Caenorhabditis elegans: one gene and its partner. The protein of the gene in region 2 interacts with the protein of the main gene of each other region in a pairwise test. Each region holds a gene or a part of one and is shown on either strand. Other genes may lie near its edges.

The links.
Region 1: the proteins of hpo-39 (region 2) and C50F4.1 interact in a two-hybrid assay, tested with the Caenorhabditis elegans proteins (one large-scale study listed by BioGRID).

What each region holds. Positions count from the first base shown.
Region 1 is NC_003283.11:9,524,930-9,529,856, reverse strand, and holds C50F4.1 (CHK kinase-like domain-containing protein), read right to left. Parts: upstream 3,065-4,927; 5' UTR 3,013-3,064; coding exon 2,911-3,012; intron 2,048-2,910; coding exon 1,427-2,047; intron 1,338-1,426; coding exon 1,248-1,337; intron 1,179-1,247; coding exon 1,069-1,178; intron 888-1,068; coding exon 722-887; 3' UTR 607-721; downstream 1-606.
Region 2 is NC_003283.11:4,572,446-4,575,744, forward strand, and holds hpo-39 (uncharacterized protein), read right to left. Parts: upstream 1,480-3,299; coding exon 688-1,479; downstream 1-687. Other genes in the region: Y61A9LA.3 (C2H2-type domain-containing protein), read left to right, coding at 2,220-2,543.

The DNA of each region.
Region 1 (4,927 bases), 5.0 Mb from region 2:
GCTGAAACTCTTCATCTGAAACTTTCGGATGCTGCATTTTTTGTTCTATTTTCAACATATTTTCAATATAATTATTTACAATATTATTTACAATAAGCATTTTATTGTAAACCGTACGCTGAGTAGCCCCAAGTTTCTAAAACATATATCAGATCTTGAATAACGAGATGTCTGACAACTGATGATTCATGAACTACCCACATAACATTATCTCCTCCCGCCTGACCTAACTGTCCTGTTAACAAACTTTCGTTCCTATTTATTCTTCTTGTTTCTATCCCTCTTATTCAGTGTATTGTATTTATGATCTATTATGTGTACATTTTTCTTTTTTCTTCAACTTTTTCCACGTCTCTTCGCGAGCGTAAATAAATAAATTAAGTAATTAATATCTATTTACAATATAATTTATAAATAGTATATTGCTATTTATATATTGTAATATGAACATCTTCTTACATAATTTAATTTGAAAGAAATGTTCTGATTTTCTCGAAGACACCCAATCCCTTTTTTAAGCAAGCTTCAAGTGTTTTCTCACACGTCATACATTTATTATTTTGTCGTCCGTATATCTACGTTGTCAAGAGATGCATCTTTCCGTTCTTGTATTGAAGATTTATTCATTCGTCACCAAGAAAAAACGACCAATCTTTATTTTTGAATTCGGTCATTTATTCTCGATTCTTTGAAAAAAAAAGCAAATACGTTATCTTATTCTTCAATCATCATTCTCTTTTTGTGAGAGAAATGGGTGCTCATTATCCGAAATGTAGTTTCCAGTCAAGAAATCTACAGTATCATTCAACGCTGTCTCCCATCGACGTGCAGCATCTTGTTTGACGTCATCCGAACCTTCACTCAGTGTAAAAAGTAGAGACTCGATTCTGGAAATGATTAGAAATTTTATTTAATGGGACTAGTGTTCTGAAAATTTGGGGCAACCTAAAATGCCTTGAAAAATTATTTTCTTGAAAATCCGGTAAAACACTATTTTATAAAAAATATCAAAAGTACGACAACTTTTTGGTCTTTTAAAACATTTGAAAATTTGAAACCTAAACTCACCCATTGATTAGAACTGTAGGTTGATATTCCTGGAACCATCTTTTCAAATCATGCAGTTGATACTTTGGTGGGTAATAGTCAACAAGTGCATAAAAATAGACTTGAAATATCTAAAATTAAAACAAATTACATCAAAAACATCTGGTGCTCTGCCGTTCCCATAAGACTCTCGAACCCACTTTCATGAACTTTTTTCGTCGAATGTCGACATCTGCAGATGAAACAATCAAATTTGCTAAATCCTCCACTGGATTTCCAAGATGAATGTTCTAAATTAATTAGGTTTTCGTTGTTGAAAGATCAAAAGTAAAAATTATAGTAGAACGCAGTTTTTTCTATTTTAAAAATAATTACGTACTTCCCATTCTGTGATCTCTACCAAATTCCCATCCTCATCAAATCTGCAAATCTCAGCTGTCAATCTTCCATGTGCGATAACATTATGTTTTTCCTTTTCATCTGCATCTTCATCTTTCCAATCTTCCAAGTAATGAGTCAAAATTCCAACTTTTTCAATAACTGAGGATGGATTCATGAAGTAGTCTGCAACTTCTGTAGTAGTTACTGCTGTTTCCAACACTTCAATCAATTCTTTTTGAATTTTCTTTTTGAATGATATGATGTTTCCATAATTTTCTTGCACATTGAGTGAGAATTGTTTATTGATAGTTTTTGAGTTGACAGCGTGTAACTTTGCAATCTGTGAGGCAACTTGTTCCAATTCTGGTAATCCCAATTTGGTACGAACACTTCCTTTCTTCAAAAATTGAGTAACATAGACAGAATGTTTGTTTTCATCTTCCGTCACAACAAACGATCGATTAAAATGTGCACTTGGAATAGGAATCTTCTCAAACGTTGATATCTCATGCCAGAAAAGTGAATTGTAGTAGGCGGCAAGCTTGCTTCCTTCCTCTAGTTTCACTATAACATCTTGATCATCTCTCACCAAATGCACTCGGAAGAGGCCCTCCGCTGTCTAAAACCAGAAAACGATGATATTCTAGAAGGGCGGGAGAAAGAAATTGGCCTCATTCAAAGGTCATTCAGTATCACATTTTGGCACATTTCTTTCGAATTTGGAACAATTTCGTAGAAAGTTTAAATCTAATCCTAATACTATACTTCCAATATTTTAATTATTTTTTTTTGTTTCAACCGTATTGAGTTCAATTTTGAAAAACTTGTTTATTTAACAATATTTCCGTTTTCTTATCAGTAAAACAGGCAGTTAAAAATTTCCACAAAAAACGTCATTAGAAAATGAAACGACTTGAACGAAATTTCCTTATAACCGGAATAATCTTTGTGCTCATTTAACTCCCAATATAATACACTCCATCCAAAAACACAAACATGAAGTATTAATTTTAAAGAGGTAATATGGAATTAAAAAACATGAAAGCTTTGTACGAAGACAAAACATTGGAAAGTAATTCGTACTAGCACCTTTAAAAGTGAAGTTCAAAGATAATTTCACAAGCAACATTTTCGAAAATTTTTGAAATTAAACATTAAAAATTGTCTAAAAATATCTTAATCTAGCGTTGACGGTTTTTTCTAATCGTTGAAAATAATAGTCAGATTAAGAGAGTCGACAATGTAACGTATACGATTTTGGCATCATATTTGCAATATTTAAAAAATTTGCAAAATCCTTTTAAAATTTGAGCCATTAAAAAAACTAACAGTAATAGGAGTTACAATAATTTTATAGTACTTGATATCTGTAGTACATTTAAATTTTGAGTTAAAAGTTTTTGAGATTTTTGCAATGCCCTCAAATAGTTCCTATTGGTTTAATATATGAGTTTTCAACTATGAACTAATTTATAAAGTTACCTCTAACTCCACGGTTGTGACACCATTGATAGTGACAGTAGGATTAAGTTCTTTAACTCGAGACAATCCAAGTTCCTTTGCAATTAATGCAGTGATGAACATAATAACTTCTCTGTGAATCAACCAACAATGCCAACACTGATATGTCCTTCTTCTGAAAATGCAAAGAAAAAAGGGAGGAGAGGGAGCAGGTGGACGAGGTCTTGTTATCAGTGATAAAAAATGCGGGAGAAAAAAGCGAAGAGAATCGAAACTAATGACACTGTCCCGTTTATGACTTTGATGATGGGCGACGACAATACTTGCATATTTTGTGTTTCGTAGAGCAAATAACATTTGCAAACACATTTTATAGCAATGAAAAAGAAGAGGGAGTGAGTCACGAGCTGAAATTTTGAACGAAGATCATAGGTGGTAGGTACTTTGCTAATGTGGTAACCATTTGAAACTGATATTTATCCGAAAATTATGAAGTGGGCGGCACAATTCTGGACGTAGGATATCGGATATCAAACTAGTGGGTGGCTGAAATGAAGACGAATTTAAAATTTAAAGTTCACGTTCGAAGACATATAGGACATCTGCCAAGTTGGCACTACATGTATCACATTAAGTTTTCAGAAAAATTGCGATATTTTCTCTCTAGGCTTGCTTCATGTAATCGAGTTTGAAATCTTCTTTCATATTTGTTTCTGGTTTCAATCTTACTGGCTAATATTATTATCAAATCAGTAATAATTTGGCGAATTTTGAGCTAGGTTTATATTCAATTTATACTGGAATAATTATTTTGAATCGTAATGTTGTTTGTGTAACGGTTTGTAAGCTTATAATTTGGAAAATCCTTGAAATTTTTCGTTGGGTAAATCCGCGCTAATTTTTTACCCCGCGCAAAAAAGTTCAAAAGTTCAGAATTGAGGCCTTTCCATTTTACATGTGATTTCCTAAACTCTAAAAATAATTCCAAAATTAATTTTAAGGAAATTTGAAAACAATAACCTCAGGACACATTTAAATTATTGTTTTCATCCGTATAGAATTGAAAAAAATCATTTTCATAAATACCTATTTTCGAATTAACGTTTTGTTTTCGTGCGTACTTTAATGTTCTTTCAATAGCCCATTTCATCCTTGCTCCGGTTGAGTTGACGAACGCCTTCAAAATGAGCCATAATTGAGAGCATTACTTTTTGATGCATTTTATTTTCCATTAAATGTTGTTTCTCTTTTTGTTGCGTTGTGCAGAACAATAAAAATACAAAACAATAATTTAACTTTCGATCCAATTAAAATTATTTTTTTTAGAAAACCAAAAATATTGATTCGATATAACGCTGTCTTAAAAAAAAATCTTATGAACAAAAACTTCATCTGAATTTCTTTTTCGTATTGTTTTGTTAAGAAACTGAAAAAAAGTTGTTTTTTTCCAAATCGAGGCAACTCTTGTTTTATCAATATCAGTTCATAATCTCTTCCCTTTTGTAAGTGGTAAATAAGAGTTTCTGTTTGTTTTATAGTATTAAATCACTCATAAATTGATACTAAGTAATCTTCCTTTAAAACTATTTTTGATGCCGCATTGAATATTTTTTATTCTGAATATTTCAGAAAAAAAGTTGCCATCTAAAAATATATCTAGTATTTTTAGGAACTTTAAGAAGTGCGACTTTGAAATGTGAATGATTTCAGACTTATCATGAAAAAGTGCTTAACTCGGTAGAATTTCCAGCCTGTTAATCAAAAAGTCACGCATCATTTGACCCATCCGATTGTTTGATTTTAGCCACTCCCTTTCTAGCATTTTAAAAATGCTTCATGACACTCAACTGACTCAATACGTCAACCCATTTCCTTCTCCTCCCACTCAACAAGTCAAAACAATTTTTGTGCATCACGAACAACCACCTCCTTGTTTGGTAACATCATGACGTTTGAAATGCTTTCACCTTTACAAATTTGCATGACACTCTCTTTGAATACTTTGGGTGTTTAAACCTAAACAGCTTATATTCTTTGA
Region 2 (3,299 bases):
GTGATGGCGATTCAAAAATTCGGAAAAGTAATAATAATTGTTTATTTGCCACAAGAAATAGCTACACCGGAAGACAAAGAAAAAAAGTAAAATAAAAAAGATGTGTGGACAGATAAATAAAATGACCAATTGGACCAGCTATAGCCCGGGAGGTCAAGTTGGGGGGAAGAGGGTGTCAAATGGGATAGAGCCTAGGCGCGACGCAAATGCATTTGGAGTTAACAGTTTAGGGAAACGTTTTGCTATTCGGTTCCACAACGACAAGTTAACATGTAGAAAACATTTAGACGGGACGCCACAGACAACAAGTAGATAGGGGTGACGAGTAGAGCGTGAAGCTCGAACGAACGATGATAAGGACGGGAAGTGATACTCGCTTGAAATAATTTTATGGAAGGTTCGGAGGATTTGAAGAACCCGTCTATGGTGGGTAGACAATAAATTAAATTGGGAAAGCCTGCTACTGTATGACGCGTACGATAAATTACACCTTTGAAAGACACACTTTGAGAAGCAATGGACGGACAAGACGATAATAAAGCCCGGTGGCCGTTTACCTATGCGTTAGCAACGGGAGCAGCCGAATCAACAGAGATAGGAAGTGGACGCGGTGACGAGAGAGTCACAATCTTAAGGTCGCGCACATAATAACGAATCTCGCCAGCTTGGGTATTTCTGTTATAAGCGTCAGCTCTCAACTCTCTCAGGATAGATAACATCGTTGGTCATATCGCGTCTGCAGCGGATGGGTCTTGGAAGGTTAGTGGGGCGATCAGGCAACGAACGGAGAGTTTTGGAGAAAGAGAAAATGAACGAATTGCGGTCGGCTTCAGAAGAGAAACGAATTTTTGTTGGGCGGGATAAGACTGGTTTGCGAGTTTTGACGCGGAAAGTTTGAATATGTACAGGGAGGGAGGGATTAGCGGCAATTAAATTATCGAGAAAAACCTTATCCTTGGCGGATTGTGAATCCGAGCCATCATCCGGTAGATTTTCAATCACGGCGAAATGAGTCTTCTTCTCAAACAGGGAAATGCTGGCTGCTGCTTCACGTCTTTCTGCAATGATCTCTGCTTTCTTCTCGGCTGATTGTCCCTTGAGAACATCGGCGAACAGGCGTGGAGCGGGCAAATTGGAGGTAACACGGGCAGAGCATTCGTTCGTGAGCTTGGCAACAACTACCTTGAGCTGCTCGACGGTTTGGAAGAGTTCCGATTGTTTGCTCTCCAGGGCACGACATCTGCTTTCAGCGGCGGTACGGAAGGTTCTCAAGCTCGAATTTTCCTTTTCCAATTCTTCAACACGGGTAGTGAGCAATTCAAGAGCGGTCGGGCGACCGCGCTTCCGGGTTTGCTGTTGTTTCTCCGGCGGAGAACTCGTACCGTGAGCGTCCTCCGGGAGATAAGGACCAGAGAAAGCGAAGAAATCCGTCTTCACCATAGGCACTGGGGCGGAATGAGGAGGAGGTGGTTCCGACATGACCAATGACCTGCAGCAGTTGACCGGCGTACCTCAAACTCAAACTTGGGTAATTAAACCAAATATTTTTTGCAGATGCTAAAACAATTTCCAAGTCAAAAAATTATGTATTCAGTCGGCAAGCAGCGGTGAAAGTGGTCAATGTAAAATGATGGATTACGGGAATACAAAACCTAAACTTTTTCTGAAACATTATACATATGCTGTTTAGATGCTGAAACTACCTGATTTTCATAACGAGACCGCTGAAAAAGTTTTGAGGTTTCCACAATTCAACTTTTTTGGTGAAAAAGTCGAGATTTTCGCACAAAAAGTTGAATTTTGAAAACCTCAAAACTTTTTCAGCGGTCTCGTTATGAAAATCAGGTAATTTCAGCATCTAAGCATCATATGTATCATGTTTCAGAAAAAGTTTAGGTTTTGTATTCCCGTAATCCATCATTTTACATTGACCACTTTCACCGCTGCTTGCCCACTGAATACATTTTTTTTATTGACTTGGAAATCGTTTTGGCATCTGCAAAAAATATTTGGTTATCAGTTTTAATAAGAAAAAACGGGAAAAAGCTGTGAAAGACGAAAGAAAACAGGCGGAAAACAAAGCAAGATAAATGGCCGCTGAAACTTGTCGGCCCCTCGGCCATGGCCTAGAAACCACTTTTCCTCGTCCCTCGTGAGGAAAAAGTTGCAGTGCCATTTTCAAATGTTTTGAAAACGAGATAATTTTATAATTTTTGCAGCAAGATCTGTCCGTGATGATCGTAGAAGAGACAAGCCACGCCAAAGACGATCCTCTCGATCCCGATCTCGTGACAGAGGTGACAAGGATCATCGAAAACCAGCAGCTTCTCGACGTAGTGATCGAGAATCAACATATCGTGAACGTCTCGGATCGTCTTCAGGCCCCGCGGCGGCTCCAGATATTATTCGAGATGGAATGGTGTGGGCCAACGATAATTATTTCGAATTTTTGAGTTTTTATATCGAAGTGCTCAACGAGAAGCTTCGTAGTTCTGTTGATAGAGATGTGAAAGGAATTCGAGAGATTCGAGAAGTTATTACTCGTGAGTTTTGAGATTTTCTGCAGGTTTTTTGGACAAAAAAAATCAGATTCGGCTCAAAAATCGGAAAAAAAAATGTATCAAAAATATTGAATTCCTCATGAAAAATACCCATTTTGGATTTTTTTTTTGTTGATTTTTTGGGTTTTCTCAACAAAAAAATCGGAAAATCGAATTTCGGTCGTTTTAAACAGTTTTTTTTGCTTAATTTAGGGCTTCCAGTGGATTGAGATTATAGAACATCAAAAAGATATGATTTTTTAATTTTCCTATTTTTATTTTTTAAAAATTGATTTTTTTTTTCGAAAAATTTTGTCAATTTTTCAACTTTTTAGAACTTTCTAAAAGTTATTTCAAAACAATTTATCCGAAAATCCAAAAATCATCGTTTTCCAATATATCGATTTTTCAATAATTTCTAATTAGAATCCAAAGTTTTTTGACGACACCCTTGATTTGGATCCAAAATCTGCATAATTCAACAAAATAAACTTTTTTTTAAATTTTGAGTGGAGTAGCGTAAATGGAGTAGAAATAGCCCGAAATTCAGAGATACCGCAAAAAAAATATTTAAATATCGCGAAAAAATGAAAAATTTCGTCCAAAATGAGTATTCCCCGACCAATCAGCATCTTCAAACTCCGCCCACTCGATCTGATTGGTTCAATAGTGGGCGGAGCGAATCGCTGATTGGTTTTGCAGTTCTCGTGTTGGGAGAGAATCAAAATTTAGTCAAAATTGAAAAATCGAGTTTTTAAG